3 linked regions of the Arabidopsis thaliana genome follow. The protein of the gene in region 1 interacts with the protein of each later gene in a pairwise test. Each region holds a gene or a part of one and is shown in the gene's direction. Other genes may lie near its edges.

Evidence for each region.
Region 2: the proteins of MPK4 (region 1) and AT2G30020 interact in binary tests that used the Arabidopsis thaliana proteins (3 or more experiments, as listed by UniProt).
Region 3: the proteins of MPK4 (region 1) and PP2C5 interact in a two-hybrid assay, tested with the Arabidopsis thaliana proteins (one study listed by BioGRID).

Annotation. Positions count from the first base shown.
Region 1 is NC_003075.7:563,560-572,083, forward strand, and holds MPK4 (MAP kinase 4), read left to right. Parts: upstream 1-3,357; 5' UTR 3,358-3,659; coding exon 3,660-3,832; intron 3,833-3,963; coding exon 3,964-4,093; intron 4,094-4,161; coding exon 4,162-4,299; intron 4,300-4,488; coding exon 4,489-4,821; intron 4,822-4,901; coding exon 4,902-5,085; intron 5,086-5,157; coding exon 5,158-5,330; 3' UTR 5,331-5,588; coding exon of another isoform or gene 5,589-6,005; 3' UTR 6,006-6,163; coding exon of another isoform or gene 6,164-6,307; 3' UTR 6,308-6,445; coding exon of another isoform or gene 6,446-6,517; 3' UTR 6,518-6,682; downstream 6,683-8,524. Other genes in the region: BPS3 (BPS1-like protein), read left to right, coding at 1,588-2,634; AT4G01380 (plastocyanin-like domain-containing protein), read right to left, coding at 5,589-6,005, 6,164-6,307, 6,446-6,517; AT4G01390 (TRAF-like family protein), read right to left, coding at 6,683-6,831, 6,915-7,081, 7,170-7,452, 7,555-7,703, 7,797-7,926, 8,012-8,036. UniProt on the Arabidopsis thaliana protein: The ANPs-MKK6-MPK4 module is involved in the regulation of plant cytokinesis during meiosis and mitosis. Essential to promote the progression of cytokinesis and for cellularization (formation of the cell plate) during male-specific meiosis.
Region 2 is NC_003071.7:12,811,159-12,818,226, forward strand, and holds AT2G30020 (Protein phosphatase 2C family protein), read left to right. Parts: upstream 1-3,112; 5' UTR 3,113-3,278; coding exon 3,279-3,782; intron 3,783-4,059; coding exon 4,060-4,746; 3' UTR 4,747-5,202; downstream 5,203-7,068. UniProt on the Arabidopsis thaliana protein: Protein phosphatase that negatively regulates defense respones. Inactivates MPK4 and MPK6 MAP kinases involved in stress and defense signaling.
Region 3 is NC_003071.7:16,779,622-16,786,381, forward strand, and holds PP2C5 (phosphatase 2C5), read left to right. Parts: upstream 1-2,744; 5' UTR 2,745-2,900; coding exon 2,901-3,728; intron 3,729-3,960; coding exon 3,961-4,140; intron 4,141-4,228; coding exon 4,229-4,393; 3' UTR 4,394-4,526; downstream 4,527-6,760. Other genes in the region: GEA6 (Stress induced protein), read right to left, coding at 171-334, 432-546; LEW3 (UDP-Glycosyltransferase superfamily protein), read left to right, coding at 5,611-5,910, 6,065-6,351, 6,449-6,635, 6,726-6,760.

The DNA of each region.
Region 1 (8,524 bases):
ATTGAAATAATTTTTTAGTGAAAAATATTGTAGTATATAAATTATAATGTACACAAAAAATGTATAGTGTTATTTATGACACAATAGCTAATGTTGTGAACCGCACATTATGCGGGTTGTAAGTATTATCATATGGTTTTGATAAAAGTTTGTATTAATATTTTTTTTTTGTGTTAGTGAATTATATAATAGTATATATATCATAAACTTATCAGTTATCATAATATTTGAAAATAAGATGTGTGGAAAATAATGTAAAAAGTTTGCGAAAAGTTTTAATTAAGATTGGTTTTTTTGGGTTAGTGAATTATATAATAGCATAGATATCATAATAGTTACATTTTATTGGAAAATTTTCTTTTGTCCTTAAAATTATCTAAGAGATTGAAGCCTTGAAGGTATCTTTTTAAATGTTTTAAAATTATTAGTGTAGTTTCTTAAGGAAATATATTAAAATCTAAAATATATGATGATATTAAATTAATTTTTTCTTTTTCAGAAATATCTCAAAATATATTACCAAAATTGAATAAATTTATATATATACAATTTCGAAATCAATAGCCTGATTTTTATGGAAACTAAATTCATTTAGTAGTAGTTAATTTACTAAATTACCCATGTAAAATTTCATTTAGTTAATTTTAAACTACCCTTATAATGTTGTAGTTCACAAAATACTTCCCAATTAATAGTATAAATACTTGTTTTCAATTTTATACTAAAGAAGAAAATTTATAAATAATATCAAATTACATCTTAAATATATTCAATGATATAAATTAGTTATATTTGTTTATATAATCTATCATATGCTGCCTCTCAGATTCATCGAAGGCTTTCCAAAGATTTCATCTACTTTAGCGCTAAGAAATATATCAAACTCACTTGTCGCTTTGACCCAATAAAAGCCCAACGCGGCCCAGTAATATAAGCTTGAAAAGCAACGTGAGAATGACAAATATACCCTCAAAATAAAGAATTGTTTTAAAGACGAAACCAGAAGTTTATAGCCCTTGGATTGATAAATATCCGGCGGCTATATTTACCACTTTTTCTTATAGAGCGTTATGCTGACAAATGTCAACGATTGAGTGGAAAAATCTACTATAACTGAGACATCAGAACCGTAAACGTGTGTATTTGTCTCTATTCTTCGTCACTGCCGCGTAGGTGAAACGGAAAAATCCTTTACAACTACCAAAACCAACGCGGGACTTAAAGTAGCGATTGCGTTGATCTGCAGCACACGGCACGTTTCTTTGATTCCTCCCTATAAGAACGCGTTTCAAGTTTTATTATCATACACTAAACCCATCTCCTATTTATACTTTCTTTTGGGTTTTTTTCTCTCCTTCATTGAAGTAGCGTAACATTGAAGTAAGCGGTAACATTTCGGAAGAATCTCTTTCTTTAGGTGAGTTTTCGTTAATCTTCGGCGAGTTTGGTTAAAGTAATGGTTTTTGTTCTGTCTTTGCATTCTTGAGATCTATTGATTCGGATTTTGGATTCAGAACAATGTTATTGGTTTGCTCATTGTTTCAGATTACTAACTTTGTTTCTTCTTTCTGTGTGTTTTCAGTTGATATGAGCCAACAACGTACACGCTCTCGGAACCCGTTCAAGATTCTGTTTACGAAGAAGAACAATGCTCGATTATCGCCAAAGCTTCTCTCACTGTTGAACAATTTCGAGACTAACTTGACGGTATCGATTAGAGAACTTGTACCAAAGGATAAGAATGATATCGTTAGTGTTTCTTGGATGATACAAGCCATGCAGTCTCTTTGTGAGACACACAAGAGTATCAGGACGCTCGTGAAGGATTTAGAGGTTCCAGTATCGGATTTGGAGGAGAATTTCATTTATATCTTCTCTGACTTTAGCTTGAAGCGGGAACTCTGCAACGCCTTTACCTCAGAGATATATCATTTGGAACATGGCAATCTATTACTAAAGTTTGCTTTTAGTAAGCTGGAGACAAACAGTGGCAATATTCTTCAGCGTTGGAATCAGCACATGGTTTCCAAGAACCCGAGTATCGAAAACTGGGGCGCGGTTTTGAGTAGGCTGGTTGAATCGATGGATCATCATCATCATATCTCCAAGAAGGGGAAGAAGAAATACTCTGCGGAAGGAAAAGTTCTCTTACGAGTTTTATACGGTGTAAAGGTCAAGACTTTATACATATTCAGCGTGTTTGATGCATCGTTCTCGGGTTCTTCCAAGAATCTCTTCTATCTAACCATTCCAAAGGAGATGGAGGAGCTTCCATGGGTTCAAGCTTTCATGGAACTGCAGAACACTATTAACCCGGAGATCAAAAACACATTTTTATCAGACGGATTCACGGTTATAAAAGATCTCGAGGCTGTTGAAACCGGTGTGAAGAAGCTTTACACAGCGGTACAAGAAGGGTCGGTTCCTATTTTGTTAGTGGAACCATTGGAGAAGTCAGTGATAGAACTTTCGGAAAGGTTTGAGCTAGTCTCCAAGGAAACACGTTGCTTGTCGAAGATGGTGATCTCTGCCCGAGACGCATTGTTGGAGAGCCTGTGGACGAAATGCGCAGAAGAGCTAGGAGTGACATTGCCAACGATGGTTAAAAGTGTTAATATAGAGGAAAAGAGCTAAGACTTGTTTGTGAATATAGAGGAAACATGTAATTATGGTATCGTTGATGTTAAGTAATAACAAATGCAGATAAAAATGAGACTTTAAAACGCTTCAAATATTGATAACTCTCTCTTTTCAATCGGTGCTAAGCTATAACTACATTTTCAAGTTAGTCAGAATTGTGCTTTAGTTCATCTTAGTTGATAATGGATAAGTGATGGGTTTGCTTGAGGCCCATTGTAAATCACTAGACCAAAAAAAATCAGTGTTATTTTCATGGTTACATGATCAATCAATCAAAGCAAACCAGATATTCTAGCTATTAATAATAACAAATGCACCAAACTTCAACATGGTTATATAAGTTGTTTAACCATGATTTTTTAAAAAAAATCAAAATGATGTCATTTTATCTTATACATAAACCTTTTTTCACTAATGGTTTTGGAATCAAAGGTCAGTTTTATGGTCAAAAACAATTTGGCCGCCCATTGACTTGTACACCACCAATATACCAAGTCGTACTTAAATTCTTATTGGAGAAAAGTTGTCATCTAGATTCTTTTAAACTTTATAATATGATATCAAGAACATTCCTACATGAAGTCATTAACTTGTTCCATTCTACAAACTTCATCAATTACATTTTTTCGGCAAAAGTCATAACCATATCTAATCTCTACTTCGTGGGATAACGCGATTTAGTAGAAGCAAACTCCAGTAAACAAAACTTAACCAATTGACTAAAAACACTTACCCGTTCCTCAATTACTTAGAGACACAATCATCGGATATACCCAACTCGATACCATAAACAAAATTGAAAATTGACATTACAAAGAAAAAGAACAAAAACCAAAGAAGAAGACGCAAACCCGGTTTAAGGGTCACGGGTGACTCGAGAGGAGACTTCCTCTTTACCGTTCAATAAAAAAAAAAGGGTAAAGGTAGAGACTTTATAACGAAATGTCAACACCCATCTTCTCGATTCCTCAATTTCTCTAGGGTTCTTCGTTTTCGTTGTTGTGAGGAATTTTGCTCCGATGTCGGCGGAGAGTTGTTTCGGAAGCTCGGGTGATCAAAGCAGCAGCAAAGGAGTGGCTACTCATGGTGGTAGCTATGTTCAGTATAATGTCTATGGCAATCTCTTCGAAGTTTCTAGAAAGTATGTTCCTCCTCTTCGTCCTATCGGTAGAGGCGCTTATGGAATTGTCTGGTGAGTTCCAAAATTAATCAGATTGGGTTTTTGAAACATGTAATGTTCACTTCTGGGGTTCTTAGATTTGGGAATTAGGGTTTTGGAATCTGTTGTTATTATAATAACTTGTGTTGATAATTGTTGATCAGTGCTGCTACAAACTCAGAGACTGGAGAGGAGGTAGCTATCAAGAAGATTGGTAATGCTTTTGACAATATTATCGATGCTAAAAGGACTTTGAGAGAGATTAAGCTTCTCAAGCATATGGATCATGAAAATGTACGTGTTACTAATCATCAGCATCTCTGGTTTTTTTTGTGTGAATCTTATATTGGTTTATTGTGCAGGTGATTGCTGTAAAGGATATAATAAAACCACCGCAGAGAGAGAACTTCAATGATGTTTACATTGTTTATGAGCTTATGGACACTGATCTCCACCAAATTATTCGCTCTAACCAACCCTTAACTGATGATCATTGTCGGGTATGCATCAATCTCCATCTTGCTTATATCTAGCAGCTGAATCTTCTGTTTCTACTTTAGAAGCAGCTGTTATTGTGTTAGAGCATCTGATGAGTATTGCTTGATACTTTATAAGTGAGAGCTAATAAGGATTTCGTTTGTTATGCTTTGAAGTTGTGTTTAGTAATTAGTTTCGATTATGTTTTGCAGTTTTTTCTGTATCAGTTGTTGCGTGGGCTCAAATATGTTCATTCAGCTAATGTATTGCATCGAGATTTGAAACCTAGCAATTTGCTCCTGAATGCAAATTGTGATCTAAAGCTTGGGGATTTCGGGCTTGCGAGGACCAAATCCGAGACTGACTTTATGACTGAATATGTTGTTACACGTTGGTATCGAGCTCCAGAGCTGCTACTTAATTGCTCTGAATACACAGCAGCAATTGATATTTGGTCTGTCGGTTGTATACTCGGTGAAACAATGACACGAGAGCCCTTGTTTCCCGGTAAAGATTATGTTCATCAGCTTAGACTCATCACTGAGGTAATCTAGTTTAGTATGTTTCATCCAAAGAATCACCACTTAGTCTCTCTTCACGGTATTAATGAATCTTTGGAAAGCAGCTTATAGGATCTCCTGATGACTCAAGCTTGGGATTCTTAAGAAGTGACAATGCAAGAAGATACGTTAGACAGCTTCCACAGTACCCTAGACAGAACTTTGCTGCTAGATTCCCAAACATGTCGGCTGGTGCAGTCGATTTGCTGGAGAAAATGCTTGTTTTTGATCCAAGCAGACGCATCACAGGTGAGTTATATTTTATATAACTGCTTCTCTGTTTCTTCGGCTATTTTCTGAACATGTTTTTTGTGTGTGTAGTTGATGAGGCGTTGTGCCACCCATATTTGGCGCCGCTGCATGATATCAACGAAGAACCGGTATGTGTGAGGCCGTTCAATTTTGATTTCGAGCAACCTACTTTGACAGAAGAGAACATTAAGGAGCTTATATACCGTGAAACAGTCAAGTTCAATCCTCAAGACTCAGTGTGAGAGAAAGAGAGAGAGATATATATCCTTAAAAGGAAACTCATCAAAATGCTATGTTTTGTTTTGCTCTGCTTTTGTTATCAAATCTCTGATAAGTTTGATAATATGTCTGTAATTTGAATAACATCCTAAAAAATTGGAAAAAAAGAAAAGAACAACCTTTGAGCTGTGTTTTGCAATAGAGTGTATTTAAATTTCCTTACTTTTTAGTCGAAAGAAAATACAGAGAAGTCTTAACTCTAATTACATCCACTAATTATCTTAATGATGGGGTTGAGGTCCGAAGGTGCGTAACCATCTGTTGAAGCGGTCCATAAGTGACAACTCTATCTTCTTCGTCGGAACATTGGGGACAGGTACGGCTTTGGTGAGTGGTCCGACCACGACTCGTAGCTTAAGCCCAGCGTAACAGTGACCTGGAGTCTTAGAGCTAATGAAATAATGGACTCCTGGTTCTGTGAGCGTGACGAGATCGTGGCCTGTCATGTGCACGGCTACGGGAGAAATCGGGTAGCAGGATATGAATTCAAGGTCCCCGCTGATCTCTAAGACGTCGTTGACTTCGTTGTCGTATTCGAAAAGAAGACTGTCTCCGATCGGAAACTGCGTCTTCTCACTCCATCTGTAATAAAAGTAACTTTCTTGCGGAACACTCCATCCCTTGGAGCCACACCAACTCTGTAGATATTTCAAGGAGGAAGGATCTTGCTCGGTGGTGTTGGAGGAATGGGACGTGACGAGTCATGAACGACAAGAATGTCGAGCTTCTGTCCCGATGCGCATTGAGCATGGTTTGAGCTGATGAACTAGTGAAAACCTGGTTCCGTGAGGGTTACGATATCGTGTCCAGGGTTGTAGACGGCTTTAGGAGAAGAAGAGTCGCAGAACTCGTATTCCAAAGCGCCGGAGACTTGAGTGACGTCGTTGAGGTTGTGATTGTGTTCGAAGATCAAAGAATCCCCAACGTGGAACACAAGTTTCTTTTGGCAAACAAATTATGTCTTTTCTTTTGGCGTTTTTCTCATATATATAGGTAGTAAAAGCAATGGAATGCTCACGATTCCTTGAAAAAAAAACAAGATCTTATTTGCAAAACAAAACTAACAAGAAACAATAACGATTGAGAACCAAGTCTCTATAGTTGATAAACTGGGCTTATGAAATCTTGTAGATTGTCTTGTTATGCCCATAAACTGAAAATACACGCCAAGCACATCATCTTCATCTCCAGCAACACGTACGTCGACACACATCACAAGTCATTACGGCATCAGTAGCTTAGTTACATAATAGTACTATATATATTCTCCAGCATTTTATTCATACGTTATAAATATTTCTTGCTGATTATATAGCTAACAGTAATTAGAGACGGAAATGACATCAAAGTCAACTCCCACATAAAGCTTATCCTTCACCAAATAAGGGTCATCAAGTTCCCCTAGAGGCATGAAATCCGCAAAGCCATGGCGGTCATCAGGTTCTGCACCAAGCCAACCCGAAACTATACGTACCAGGAGAAAAAGATTAGTACTGTATTTAACCATCATGCATCACAAGACTTTCCAAAACATAATAAACACATACTTGTTTTCTCAACATGATTCCTGCTAACTTGATCCAATACACGCAGCTTGAACCTCGCGTAAGTTTTAGTCTTTGGTGCATTATTGACAAACCCTAGTGCCGATAGATACACAGAAAATGATTTGTCTTTTTCACCCATAGACCCTCTTGGATGAACTTTAATTCTCCTGATCAAATATATTGTGATGCATTTTTATTAGTATTATATATAAGTTGTGTTATGTTTTTGGGAAAAAGGAGGAATATAATATCAACCATTTCCGGGTTCCAACGACAAATTCATTAGACTGATGAACGTTTCCAGGGTTGAAGGACGAGAACATGGTCATCATCCAAGTGACTCTGTGATTAAGAGGCTTCTCTATTAAGCTAAAACTTTCCGCTGTTCCGGGTTTAGCAGGTTCAATCCCATGGAACTTGACACCAAACATACAACAATCTCCAATAAGGAAACCATTTTTCTTAAGATCAACAAGAGATATGAACTCACGAAACCCCTCACTACCCAGTTCTTCATTGGTTTCGTATTCATCTCTTCCTGCACATCAACATATATGGACGCCGTATCAAACCTATATACACACAGATGTATGCGTGATTGAATGAAGCAAGAGAGAGAGAGAGAGAGAGTGAGAGAGACCGTGAGTGTGCCATTTTGGCTCAAGTTGACTGACGGCAAGAAGCTCATATGTAAGCGTATCATATACCGGAGCTTGATTCATTAAGTAGAGGGAGACATAATGTGTCCCCTTAGCATTTGTATGGCCATTTGGGTGCACAGAGAGTTTCCTGTTACCAATCAAGTCGTTAAGAGGATGATCACCATCTTTGTTTTCTTTTGTATGTCAATAAGCATAATAACAAGATTATAAACAACTTCACCATTTGTGACCAGCGAGATCGAAAACAGAGGACTCGACCTTTTCGATTCCATGCTTTCTGAGTAAAGAGAAATGGTCTATCTTGAACATGTGAGCTGTTGCGTGACGTACTTTGAACAGTCTCACCATTTCTGTCAAGAATGAGAAAATTATTAAAACTTGGAACTCATAATGATACTAAGAGATCATCAGACACAACATAAGTTATGTTTTCACCTTCAAGCGAGATTGGTCGCGACATTGTAAGAAGCTGCAAATGATTTAGTACTGTGTCTTGTTAGGTGTAAAGAGACTTGTACATATATATCTTGAAGATGCAAGTCTATTTATACAAGGACAAGAGTTGTCTTTATTTATTTATCGGGATCCCATGTTTTGCTCATCTCTCTGTTTTGCCCCCAACATTTATCGAATCGAACAAAACATCTTTTTTTTTTTTTTGGTAATTGAACAAAGCATCAATATTGATACGCATTTATTTATACGTCACATTTGAGCATATGTTCGTAAAAATCGACCTAAATTCTCAACTCAAAGAAATACTTTAACATTTATTATTATTATTCTTTTCAAATTACTACTCCCTCTGTTTCTATATAAATGTAGTTTAACGGTTTTTTTTTTTTTCAATTTAAGTGTTGTTTTCAACTTTCTATGCAAATAATAAATGTATTTAATATTTTTTAACCAATTATATTTAATCATCTATTTTTTTATTGGTTGAATTGG
Region 2 (7,068 bases), on another chromosome or scaffold:
TTGTTCAAGTAGGAGGAGTCTTGTATGTGACTTAGTCTTCTGTTGAACATAAACAGCATTAAATCATAACTAATAATCATTACTATGACTGATTGACTGATAATTGTAATGATTTTCTAATTGTAAGTTATTTATGATTGCAATTTCTAAAGTATATTGCCTAACCCACGGAAATGCCATCACATGTCGAAAGTAATAGTTTTATTTTGGTCTCGCTTGTTTCTAACGGAGTTTATGTATATAGAGATATATATATGCCTATGATTATTCTCTACAAAAATGAAAATCACATTTCAATACTTTTTTAAAAATGTATTCTTAAAGAGAAGACGCAAAAAGTATTTAAGTGTACAGTGAACAAATAAGATTTTGTTTTAGTGGTGAAAGAGAAAAATTACACTATATTTCTAAATTAGTTTTTTTTCTTTCTTTTCGGTTTTTGAGGTCATTTAATCAGATAATTCGAAAATATTTAAATAACTTATGTACTAGGATAAAAAGCAAACATTTTTTTTTGGTATGAATTAGTAGTAGAGAATATTACGTGATTAGACACTTTTTTAAAAGTTTGTTCCTAATTAGGCACTTTAAATGGAGAAGTCACTTTAGATAAATTATTTTACTTATTTACCCTTTAACTACATTTTTTCCATCGGTCATTTCTTCTCTCTCCTTTTCCCATCTCTTCTCTATTTTTTTTTTTTCTCACTTTATCGAAGAAAAAAACATTTCCCAGAATATCTTCAATTCCAAATCTGCAATTAATCTCCAAATCCACTCTACGCGATGGCTTTCTTTTTTCTCTGGACTAATTAGAGAATATGAGGTCTTGGTTTCTTTAAGATTGTAATTTATTTTGCAATTTAAATATTTGTTTTGATATAAATTTGAGATTCAATTATCTAAGAAACATCTTCTTCTTCAACAATGGCGGCTTGATTTGATTTTTGCTCTCTCTCATGTGTCAAACTCGTTTCATCTATGTAGCATCGAGATTCCGGTTAATCGAATTTCCTGTTATTATGGACATGATATACAAAATGGATATAGAACAGTAAAAAGGTTTCCGAATGGATATATTTAAATGGACTCGTTATTATGGACACCAAACCATTGTTTGTTGATTTTTCTTTCGGTTTGCAGAGACCTCTACCTTCAAAACCTTATGGACATGGAACTTTGGTTTCTTTACAAAACACGGTTAATCGAATCTCCTGTTATTATTGACATGGTATATAGAATGAATATAGATAAGTAGAAAGGTTTTTGAATGGATATATTTAAATGGATTCGTTATTATGGACACCAAAACATTGTTTGTTGATTTTTCTTTCAGTTTGAAGAGACCTCCACTTCCAAGACCTTATGGACATGGAACTTTGGTTTCTTTACAAACCACGGTTAATCGAATCTCCTGTTATATGGACATGGTATATAGAATGAATATGAATCAGTAAAAGGTTTTCTGAATGGATATATTTAAATGGACTCGTTATTATGGACACCAAAAAATTGTTTGTTGATTTTTCTTACAATTTGCAGAGACCCCACCTCCAATACCTTATGGACATAGAACTTTTACCAAATTCCTGAGATAATCGAGATCAAATTGTTTAAGAAACTTCTCCAAAAGTTATGGAGACGTGGAGAGAGAGAGAGAGAGGCGCTACAAATCATGGAGAGAGAGAGAGAGAGATTTTATTTATTTTGGGTAAGGATCGTGGAAGAGGAATAACAAAAAAGAGAAATTAAGAATTAAAAACATAAATATTGAATTGAGGGTAAAAAAGTCTTTAAAAAAAAAGAATTAATAGAAAAAGTGTCTATTTCCTATAAACTGCCTCAAACGGAAAAACATTCTCTAAAAGTGCTTAATAGTGGAACATTAATCGCATGACAATATAATAAGACGTAAAATTTTTGGTCTTATCATATGCAAATACTTATTAATAAGGAAATTTTGGTCTTATAATATTGCAAAAACTGATTTTTCTTTGTTTACTATTCATCCCTATCACAATTCACAACATTAACAAAAACTTTCTAATGGATTTTTCTTCAACTCTAGAACATTGCAATTCCTTTTCAACTCTAGAATATCAAATACCGTTTAAAAGACAAAACTATCAGTTAATGATGTCACAAATTACTCAAAAAATTAACACTCTCTTAATAAGAAGAAGACTTGTATTTTAATAATAAGAAGACCTCGTGTGAAACGAGATCAATTACAACTTTATGTATTAGACTTTTTGACAAATTCACAACGGTCATCAAATGGAAACAAACAAAACGAAGGCTCCTCTTCAGGCTCTCAACGGTCACTTGCTTAGAAGCTGCGACTACGACAAGCAAAAATACTCATCCAATGAAAACGACGACGTATAGAACCTAACGGTCGTTTTAAATTCTTTAAGATTCTATTTTTCATTTAATTTAAAAAGGAGAAGAAAAAAAAAGTGAGTCATCAATGAAACACTTCTTTAACACAGATACGTTACCCACATGCCCAATTATTAGCATTCGTTTCCTTTTAGACGTGTTTTTGACTTCATTTGAAATGTCTGTTTTAACCTCACAGAGCAAACCCAATAAATCGCTTACTTCATCGTTTTAGCTATTTTAGACTGTGAATGACCGTTTTACCCTCCAACATTCTCTTTTGTACTATCTGCTGTGTTTTATTGAATTTTATTCTACGTTACAAAGGGCCTTTCTTCTTATTTGCAATACTCCTCTTTTTGTTTATGATAGTTCTAGTCTACTAGACATAATTTGTTTTTATTATTAAATTGACATAAAGTTACCAAAAATTGAATGATTCTTATTTTGGTTATGAAAAAATATTGGAATAAAAAATCTCATGGATATATACATTTTTCATTATTAAGAAAAAATGATATTTTCCTTTATTTTGCCAACAAAAAAAAACTGGTCAACAAGAGTAGGATTCAAGCTAATTTTGTTTTCCTCAAAATAATATCCATTTTGTAGAAAGTAAAAGGACAACATAAATAAAGGAAATGAAAGTTGTAAGGGCATAAATGTTATTTACAAAGTCAAAGAGACTGAAAAACTTTGAATAAAGCTCGATAAACACGGACTCTAATTCATTCAATATTCATTACCTTCTTCTTTCCTTTATATTTAAAAACCTTCTTCTTCTCTCTCTGTACATCGTCACAACAAAAAAAAAACAGAAGGAGAAGAAACAAAAACAATAATCTCAGCAAAAACAAATCTCTACTCATCGAAATCGAAATCAAAATATAGAAACGATGTCTTGCTCCGTCGCCGTATGTAATTCTCCGGTGTTTTCACCGTCGTCTTCTCTATTCTGCAACAAATCTTCGATTCTCTCGTCACCGCAAGAATCTCTTTCTCTAACGCTTTCTCATCGCAAACCTCAGACCTCTTCTCCTTCCTCTCCATCCACCACCGTTTCTTCTCCTAAATCTCCATTTCGTCTCCGTTTCCAGAAACCTCCGTCCGGATTCGCTCCTGGTCCATTATCTTTTGGATCTGAATCTGTTTCTGCATCCTCTCCTCCGGGAGGTGTTTTAAAGAGGAAACGACCTACAAGGCTTGATATACCGATTGGTGTTGCTGGATTTGTAGCTCCGATTTCTTCATCGGCCGCTGTGGCTGCGACGCCGAGAGAGGAGTGTAGAGAGGTTGAGAGAGAAGGTGATGGTTATTCTGTTTATTGTAAGAGAGGAAGAAGAGAAGCTATGGAGGATCGTTTCTCTGCTATCACCAATCTTCATGGAGATCGTAAACAGGTAATTTTAAATTTCAAATTCATTTTTCAGTTTTGGTTTAGAATTGAATTGAATTGGTGATTTTGATTCGATTGATTAGCAATTACAGCTCAAATTAGGGTTTATCATGTGAGATCTACATTGATTGGGTTAATAAGCTATCTAAAATTAGGGTTCTTTGGGGAAAATTGAAATTCTGAATAGAATTAGAAGTTTTACAGAATCATATGAAACAATTGTGTGCTTATTGATGAATCGTGTATTCTAAACGTTGTTTTGCTTTGTGATAATTTCTCAGGCGATTTTCGGAGTCTATGATGGTCATGGAGGAGTTAAAGCGGCTGAGTTTGCAGCTAAGAACTTAGATAAGAACATTGTAGAAGAAGTAGTTGGTAAGAGAGACGAGTCTGAGATAGCTGAAGCGGTGAAACATGGTTACTTGGCAACAGACGCGTCGTTTCTTAAGGAGGAAGACGTTAAGGGTGGTTCATGCTGTGTCACGGCTCTGGTTAACGAAGGGAACCTTGTTGTGTCTAACGCCGGTGACTGTCGTGCTGTTATGAGTGTAGGAGGTGTAGCTAAGGCTTTATCTTCTGATCACCGCCCGTCTAGAGACGATGAACGGAAAAGAATTGAAACCACGGGAGGATATGTTGATACGTTTCACGGTGTTTGGAGAATCCAGGGATCTTTAGCTGTGTCAAGAGGAATTGGAGATGCTCAACTTAAGAAATGGGTTATAGCTGAACCAGAGACAAAGATTTCGAGAATCGAGCATGACCATGAGTTTTTGATCTTGGCATCTGATGGTTTATGGGATAAAGTGAGTAACCAAGAAGCAGTAGACATTGCTCGTCCTCTCTGCTTAGGAACCGAGAAGCCATTGTTGTTAGCTGCCTGTAAGAAGCTTGTCGATTTATCTGCTTCACGAGGCTCGTCTGATGATATCAGTGTGATGTTGATCCCTTTACGCCAGTTCATATAGAAAAGAGAGGCATCTTAGAAGATTTTAGATATATGATAAACGTTAGAAATTTGGAGGTTTTATATGATTTAGTTCTTTTGTTTAACTTGATCCATTCATTTATTTATTCTTTCTAACTTAGTGAACAAAGCTAAACTCATTGTGGCTTATGATTACTTGTATGATTCGAGCATTGGCCGAAATTAATCTAATAATCGGTTCGTTATATATCTTGTCATATGTTTCAAGATCCTGCAAATTTCTCTACAGTACAATACCAACACAGTGCTTGGAAGAGATTGACTCAATCTGAATCAAAGATTCCTTGTTTTGATGAATTTCAATTCACAACTCCAACATACATGAAGTTCATATTGAGATGCAACGTGAAAGAAATCGACATGACAAGTGATCCTGGTCAAAGAGTCACACGGCCAATATTGTTTTAAAGTGGAACGAAGGTACAAGAGAAGTTGATCGAGAAAACAAGTTCAACCATAAAGAGAGTTTTCTTAGGAAAAAGGAGAAAAACAAACAAAGTCCTCAAGTTTGACAGGCTAACATAAACCATTGGGCCGGACACAAACCCGAATAGCCCAAAATATATTATTTGTTCACATGTGTAGTTTAATTAGTTTTGGTCTTGGATCTCAAATTCTCAATCTGTTTTCATGCAAACGTAAGATATGTTTTTATTTTGTCTACTAGTTAAAATCTCGTTAAATCTATTCATTTTCGTGTTTTTCACATTCAGTCTGGTTAGACATTGAGACCAATACAAACCACTTAGAATTTTGGCTGTGGTTGACATATATATCCTAACAATGTTGTTAATTGTGACAATGTTGACATGGATTAAGAACCATAATTTTCGATGAATTACATATTAACAAGAGTGAAATGATGTGCAAATTAAATTGAACATATACATTTTATGTACATATAAGAAACAAGCAAAAACAAATATGTGCGGTGATAATGATTACCGACATGGATAAGCCGATAAAAGGATAAGAAAAATAAAACAAAAGATTGAGTTTGTGAAAAGAGGAAGAAGACAATGGTCAAAGAAAGAACGTAAAAACAACACGTGAATTACAAACACATGTTTTTGTGTTGTAGGCGGAGAACACGTTGTTGTTTTTTGTCTTCCAATGGACCCCAAAAACGGCACGTTGTTCGGCTTTTTCTCTTTTGTTCTTGTTTTTGTTTCTCCAACTCTAATTTCTTTTCTTCTCGTATTTAACTTTACCAAACCAAATCTCCGGAAAATTAGCATTTCAGTCCCACACACATCATGTGTTCTACCGATTCAGTGTAACTAAACTTAATGTAACATAAGTTGTGTTAGTTCACTTAATTTAGCTTCCATCTATCAGTTTCATTTATTTCACTGTTTTTTTTTTCAAAAACAAATTTATGAATGAAAGCCTAACAAATAACACCATGACCTACATGATCCACATTGAGTTAATCCCTACAACCTAACTTTACCTGTATCTTTTCATATTTTAATTGTGAAAATCATGATTTTTAACTCTATTTTCATCTCATTACAAGTCAATGTCTATTTTATGTTATTTTACAAGTCAATTTCTATTTTATCTTTTGGGCAGTTTTTTTTTCCAAGAGGAATAAAGCTTGAAAAGAAGTAGTTGAATTAGACTTGTTAACAAACCCATAATAATTAACTAAATAAACAAAGAAAATATCAATAATACTATAAACCACACTCGCATGCAATTAAATATTCACGATGTAATTAAGACAGAGTTCGTCCACTACAACTGGCCATTGGTTGGCATTTACTATTCTTTCAAAGTTAGAATCGGTGTTTTGCGTGTGGTCCCTCGTTTTTTTTATTTAATACACTATAGTTTTTTTTTTTTTTTTGTCAAAATAAGAATCTATAGTTAAAGCCATTTACTTTGTTTGTAGCAATTTGTTTCGCGATGTAATTCGTAAATTAATGTTAGACACACAAAAAAATAGTCCATGAAATGGAAGCGAATCGTAGATACGTGCAAACAATTCACTCGCATTATTTGATTCGAAGCATTGGCCTTATCATTATGTCTTCAGCTCTAATCGACGATTTGAAAATTTAGTGCAAGAAGAAAATATAACCGATAATATAAAGCACCACATGTATTTGACTTTAATTGCTTAAACTATGGTATTCAAGTTAGATTGTTGTAATGATATATGCGGAAGAACCTTGGATCGAAATTTTGACACCTCTCATTTTGTTACTCGATTCGATTTAGAATGAAAAAGAAAGCTAAACGGATTCGGAGGAACACATGTAAAGGATTCACTTATCTCAATGTGAGACCGAGCTTA
Region 3 (6,760 bases), on another chromosome or scaffold:
TTGGTACTGGAAAACAAACGAGACACTTTACGTAGACGAAAACATACACATGGTCATCACCATCCGTAAACTAAACAAGAACTTAAGTACGCACAGGAAACTACACAAGATATAACTACATGGAAAGATTTAAACCGGATTAATATTACATCCGTGTGGGGAAGTTTGATTTAGGTCTTGGTCCTGAATTTGGATTCGTCTATCTCGACTCCTTCCTCCTCAGCGTGTTCCCCACCAGGCTTGTCTCCGGTGCTAAGACCACCTTTGCGTCCCATCTGCTGATATCCTTCAGTTCCTAACTGCTCCTTTCGAGTTTGCCCTCCTCGGCTCCTCCCTTCATATAATAAATATTCCACAAACATTAATCTCGTTACTCTAGCCTAAAGACCTAACTTGAAACATACGCAACCATGAATAAGAGAAAGAATGACCTTCAGCGAGATGCTGTTGAGCTTCGAAGCTTTTGCCTCCCGTACCACCTGGCACGACGGTCTCGCCCTTCTTTGCCCTCTCATCCAGCTGCTTCTTCTCTTGTTGAGACGCCATGGCTCTTTAGTTACTTACACAACACAAGTTTATATAAAACACTAGACAAGTAAAAACCAAACAAACTCGCAACGACTTGATGATGATATACGAAGAAGACTATAGTAGCTCGCTCTATATATAGCGAGTTCAATCCGGAGGGCGTTTTGGTTGTGTTGCATCGTGGATGTTCGACGTGGTGACTCAGGGACAATCGGTACGTCATACGTATGCTCTTCTTTCTTGGTGACATGCCACGTGTCTGACTTTATTAGCTGACGTATACTTTGAACGTGGTAGTGGCCGTACTTCTTCGCCGCGTGTTCTTTAACTATACCGCCGCAATTATTTTGTGTGTTGCCTTTGTATTCATAAAATCTTTCAATCATTTGACTATACTGTATGAAAGTAAATATGAATACCTGAGGAAGAAATCCCGGATGGATTCATGATTGGAAATGTTGGTAATCGTCATTGAATTTGTGCCTTACGGTTAGGTGTATAAATTGCTGGTCAAAATTCGTTGACGTTAGGTGGTCCATATATCAAGTTCAGTTCCGATCAAATTGATTGAATACGTGGCATCGACTTTAAGCAGATTCATATGCAAATATTCATTTTAGAAATCAAATTACAATTTGAAAGCGTACATTAAGTCTTATTGTTGAAAAAATAAATATAACAAACTTTTTTTACTCTCAACTTTGAAAAGATTCAAATGCTATATCTCTGAATTTTAGCTCCTAATTCTATTATTTTGGACTCTTTAAAAAAAAAAAAAAAATTTGAGGATCGCTGCCCCTGGTTTTGACTATCACACTTATTTTGTGTAGCATTCCATATTGCTTGAATGTGTCTGCAATATTTGAGTTATCAACGTTATATATCCTTGTTGCTTCTTTTGATTCGTTTTGTGAATGAATTTATGTTGTCCTCAACGGTTCTCTCTCAATACTACGTGACTACGTCAATGTTATAGCTAAATGTGTGTAATTTTTTTTAATGTTTTTTTAATATTTTTATTTGTATTGTAAACACAAAAATTTGAACTACAATCTACGAGCATGACAAATTGGCTTGCCAAGTCAAAAAAGGGCGACACGAGAGTGATTCTTACGAGGCAAGTTATTTGTGTTCCTAAGACGAATTAGGGTCAATAGTTCCCCAACTCCAATCATCTATACATCATTATTACATACACACTTCACACTTGCGTATGGTTACATCAATTTTAAACAGCGTACGATTCTTTAAATCAAAGATTTAGTTGTTCTTCTTTCCTTAAATGAATTCACTAAATTTTGCCAGGTCTTCAGATTTTTTTTTGACTTTTTCTAATTATGACGTTTGAAAACGATGCGGGAGTGAATTAACAACCTTCATATACTAACTATAAATAATAATTTATTTCAATACCTAATTCCTCCTCTAAATAGATAGATTTTCTGAAAGGCATATGTTTCAAGTCTAATTCCTTATTCGAATCTATTGACTCGGATTCACCAATATAGTACCATCCCATCAAAAGTTTGAACCATTAGTTTACTTAATTATTCATATTAAACTTTTGAATAGTTATCCATAGACTAACATTGACTAACTTATATAAGGTTTGATGGTTTCTACTTCGAGATTAAATTAGTAATGAATGCAAGAATCTAAATGATACGATTCTAATTTTTTTGATACGTGCATAAGATTCTAATAAATTTGATACATGCATTTTCCATAGTTGATCAAATTAGGTATGAAGACCAGAAATAACTAGTTCCCTTATTAATTCTTAGTACTTATCCTTTTTTCGTCTAAATTCTTAGTATTATGCAATTTTTTCTAGCGTGTAAAATTAACTTCTTTTTTTTCTTTGTTGAGAAGGTATAAACTAAACTTGATAATGATAAATATATAACTTCACATATAGTTCCATTTCAAAGAAAACTAAAGAATGCCCTAATACAGTTGTATTCAATGGACGGCGCATAATATAGATCACTTATTCTAAGGTAAAAGATTTCACGTGATCACCGAGTCCAACCTTCTATTCAAATCTCTCGTTATGGCAATTTAATAACCACTAGAAAAAACAAATTATAGAGAAAGGTAATTTGGGCACCGACGTGAATTTGACTAAATTACGAGAGAGAAAGAAAGAGAGACTTGGTCACGAAGGTGTTAATTAGCATGAAAGAGAGAGAAATAATCGTCGTTGACCATTGACCATAACTTAGTCAGTCATATATATAAAAATCCAACCGCCCACTATTGTTCCCCTATTCACAAGGTCCTTGCTTTCTCAGACGTAAACAACAAGAAATTATATTAACACAACAACAACAACAAAAAGACCAACCCTATTTATTCATATTTTCTCTTATATGCAACTCTCAAAGAATCCGATCAAACAAACGAGAAATCGAGAGAAGAATTACACCGACGATTTCACCATGAAGAGATCTGTAATCATGGCTCCTGAATCTCCGGTTTTTTTCCCACCTCCGCTTGTTTTCTCTCCGACGTCGGTCAAAACGCCGTTGTCTTCTCCTCGTTCGTCGCCACCGAAGCTGACGATGGTTGCTTGTCCTCCAAGAAAGCCAAAGGAGACGAAGACTACGGGTTCTGATTCTGAAACGGTGTTGAAAAGGAAACGACCACCGATGCTTGACTTAACGGCGGCTCCGACGGTTGCATCGTGGTGCAGTACGACGAGAGAGACGGCGGAGAAAGGAGCGGAAGTTGTTGAAGCAGAAGAAGATGGATACTACTCTGTTTATTGCAAGAGAGGAAGACGCGGACCAATGGAAGATAGGTATTTCGCGGCCGTTGATCGTAACGACGACGGAGGTTACAAAAATGCTTTCTTTGGGGTATTTGATGGTCACGGCGGATCCAAGGCGGCGGAATTCGCTGCGATGAATCTAGGGAACAATATCGAGGCGGCAATGGCATCGGCGAGATCAGGAGAAGATGGTTGTTCGATGGAGAGTGCGATAAGAGAAGGTTATATCAAAACGGATGAGGATTTCTTGAAAGAAGGTTCGAGAGGTGGCGCGTGTTGTGTAACCGCTTTGATATCGAAAGGCGAGCTTGCGGTTTCGAATGCAGGCGACTGCCGGGCTGTTATGAGTCGTGGTGGAACCGCGGAAGCTCTCACTTCCGATCATAATCCTTCTCAAGCAAATGAGCTCAAAAGGATTGAAGCATTGGTGAGTTTTATCCTTGTGCATTGGATTTTGATTAGTAACATCACATAATTGTGGAATTGCATTTCAAAAAAAAAAAATCATTGAATTCGTGGAAAAAGCGACTCTAGTAAAAATGCGGTTGATAAAATTTTTGCAAATTGGAGAATCATTCTACCATTTTGCGTTCAAAATAATGTTTTAGTGCGGTTTGGTTTAATTTGTGTTTGGTTTACTTATTTTTGAATGTGTGTAGGGTGGTTATGTTGACTGCTGCAACGGCGTTTGGAGAATTCAAGGGACATTAGCAGTCTCACGAGGAATTGGAGACCGGTACCTCAAGGAGTGGGTGATAGCTGAACCGGAAACCAGAACATTACGGATTAAACCGGAGTTCGAATTCTTGATCTTAGCATCTGATGGCCTGTGGGACAAGGTAAGCATAACAAGAAATGCATGATTTCAAAAATTTGATTTTCATTTTTGGTCTTTGGATTTAATGTTGAAGCTGGTTTGTCCTATAGGTAACGAACCAAGAGGCCGTCGATGTCGTTCGACCGTACTGCGTAGGCGTAGAGAATCCAATGACACTTTCTGCTTGCAAGAAACTGGCTGAGCTATCGGTTAAGAGAGGCTCTTTGGATGATATAAGTCTAATTATAATTCAGCTACAAAACTTTCTTCCATGATATATTAACACATAGTACATTAGCTAAACTTAATTAATTTCATTAGGTCGTAGTTATTAATAAATTTTGTTCGGTATTTTACATGTAAATACATAAAGGTTTGGAAAATAATTAATTTATTGTTATTGTTCTTAGAGATAAGCTCCAAAATATTTTTGGTTTACGATATAAACACTACATAATACATGAAATTGCACTATCTAACCATTTATCATCCTTTTTATCCTCAACTTTTTTATTCTCATGCATTTTGAAAACCACATTCTAATCATATTTCTGCTTTTATGTGTAAAACCAACAAAGATGTACATGGTTGATATACACACGTAGACATAACCTTGACAAGCAACATCTTCGTCGTTACTCATTTTACAGATTTCTACCCATCTGCCTTCAATAAAACAAACATCAACCATATTAGTAACTGCATGGTAACCAAGCATACGTGAGTTTTTGTTGTAAGGACCGGTAAACACTTTGAACCTATAAACACCTCCGCCTCTTCCAACAACTCAGAATAATGAACAAGATCACATGCTAAGGTTTTGTAATGCTTCTTACAAACAAAAGTTTATTTAAAAAGGGAAGGGAGAGTTTATAAAATATAAATTAGCATTGACATTGGTGTGAGGTTCTTCACATAATCATATCATTCTGACCAAAATATTAGTCGGAAAATGGTTAGAAACACACCAATATGAGTTGTTTTCTTGTAGTTCTGAGAAAACATAGATGAACCAATATATCAACGTAAGTAACTAAGATAAATTGTGAATCATGAGAATGCAAGAAATATTTTCTCATGATTACATGAGATGAAATACTACCTTACAATTCATCAAACTTTTTGTAGAAAAAGGTATTGAAGAAATGAAAATTGGATGTAGACAAAAAAATAAAAAATTCTTGCTGCAAGATCCTGGACAAAGACAATAATCACATTAAGAACAATGTAAATTTTTTAAAATTAGTAAAAACTCTCTATAAATTAATAATTCACACCATTTAAATTTTAGAGGAGGTGATGAAAGGACATTATCATCAATTTTGGTAGTTAACCCCCAATTATTTAACTAATCAAGATACAAGGGGTACAACTGTAATATATTCATAGTTTGGTGTGTTTTCTACAATATTCAGAAACACGATTTAAGACGATTGAAACTAAAAATAAAAAGTGTCGGACTTGTAAATTTTCGCTCAGCGATCTGCTTCCAATGGCGATCTACTTCATTCTCTATACACTTCTCACGATCATCTTCGCCGTATCTCTGAGTTTATTTCTTTCCGTGATCAATGCAAGAAAGAGCAGAAAACGTGCGGTAGGATTCTTCCATCCGTACACGAACGACGGTGGCGGCGGCGAGAGAGTGCTCTGGTGCGCCGTTAAAGCCATTCAAGAGGAAAATCCCGATCTTGACTGTGTCATCTTCACCGGAGATCATGACTCTTCTTCTGATAGCTTAGCTCGTCGCGCCGTTGATCGATTCGGTGTTCACCTTCAGTCTCCTCCTAAGGTCCCATTACTCCTAAAGTTTAAATTTTTATCAATTTGAATTGGTTCTAATAACACAGAACCTCTCAGATTTGAGGGCAAGTTTCAATTTTGCAATTTGGGTTAGTTTTGATGCAAGTTTTGTGCTTTTGTTGGTTGTTGTTGTGTGGCTTTAGGTGATTCATCTAAACAAAAGGAAATGGATTGAAGAGAGTACTTACCCACATTTTACAATGATAGGTCAGAGTCTTGGTTCGGTTTACTTAGCGTGGGAAGCATTACGCATGTTCACTCCTTTGTATTTCCTTGACACTAGTGGATATGCGTTTACATATCCTCTTGCTCGGATCTTTGGTTGCAAAGTTGTTTGCTATACTCATTATCCAACTATTAGTTTGGATATGATTTCTCGTGTTCGTCAGAGGAACTCTATGTATAACAATGATGCTTCCATTGCTAAGAGGTTTTGGTTATCTCCTTGCTTATTTGGTGTTTTTCAAAAGTGAAAAGTTTCTATTTCTTTGTTTAGTGTAATGATGTTTGTTGCTTTTTTTGTGTAGCAATTGGTTATCTACTTGCAAATTAGTCTATTACAGAGCTTTTAGCTGGATGTATGGGATGGTTGGGTCATGTACTCATTTAGCTATGGTTAACTCTTCGTGGACTAAGTCCCATATCGAAGTGCTTTGGAGAATTCCAGAACGGATTACACGGGTCTACCCGCCCTGTGATACTTCAGGACTTCAGGTGATAACCTTCAGACAGCTCGAATCTTATGATTTTTGTCTGTTTTCTGGTTACATCTCAGTATTTGCTGACATCTTGGGCTTATTGCAGGCGTTTCCTCTTGAACGATCATCTGATCCTCCTAA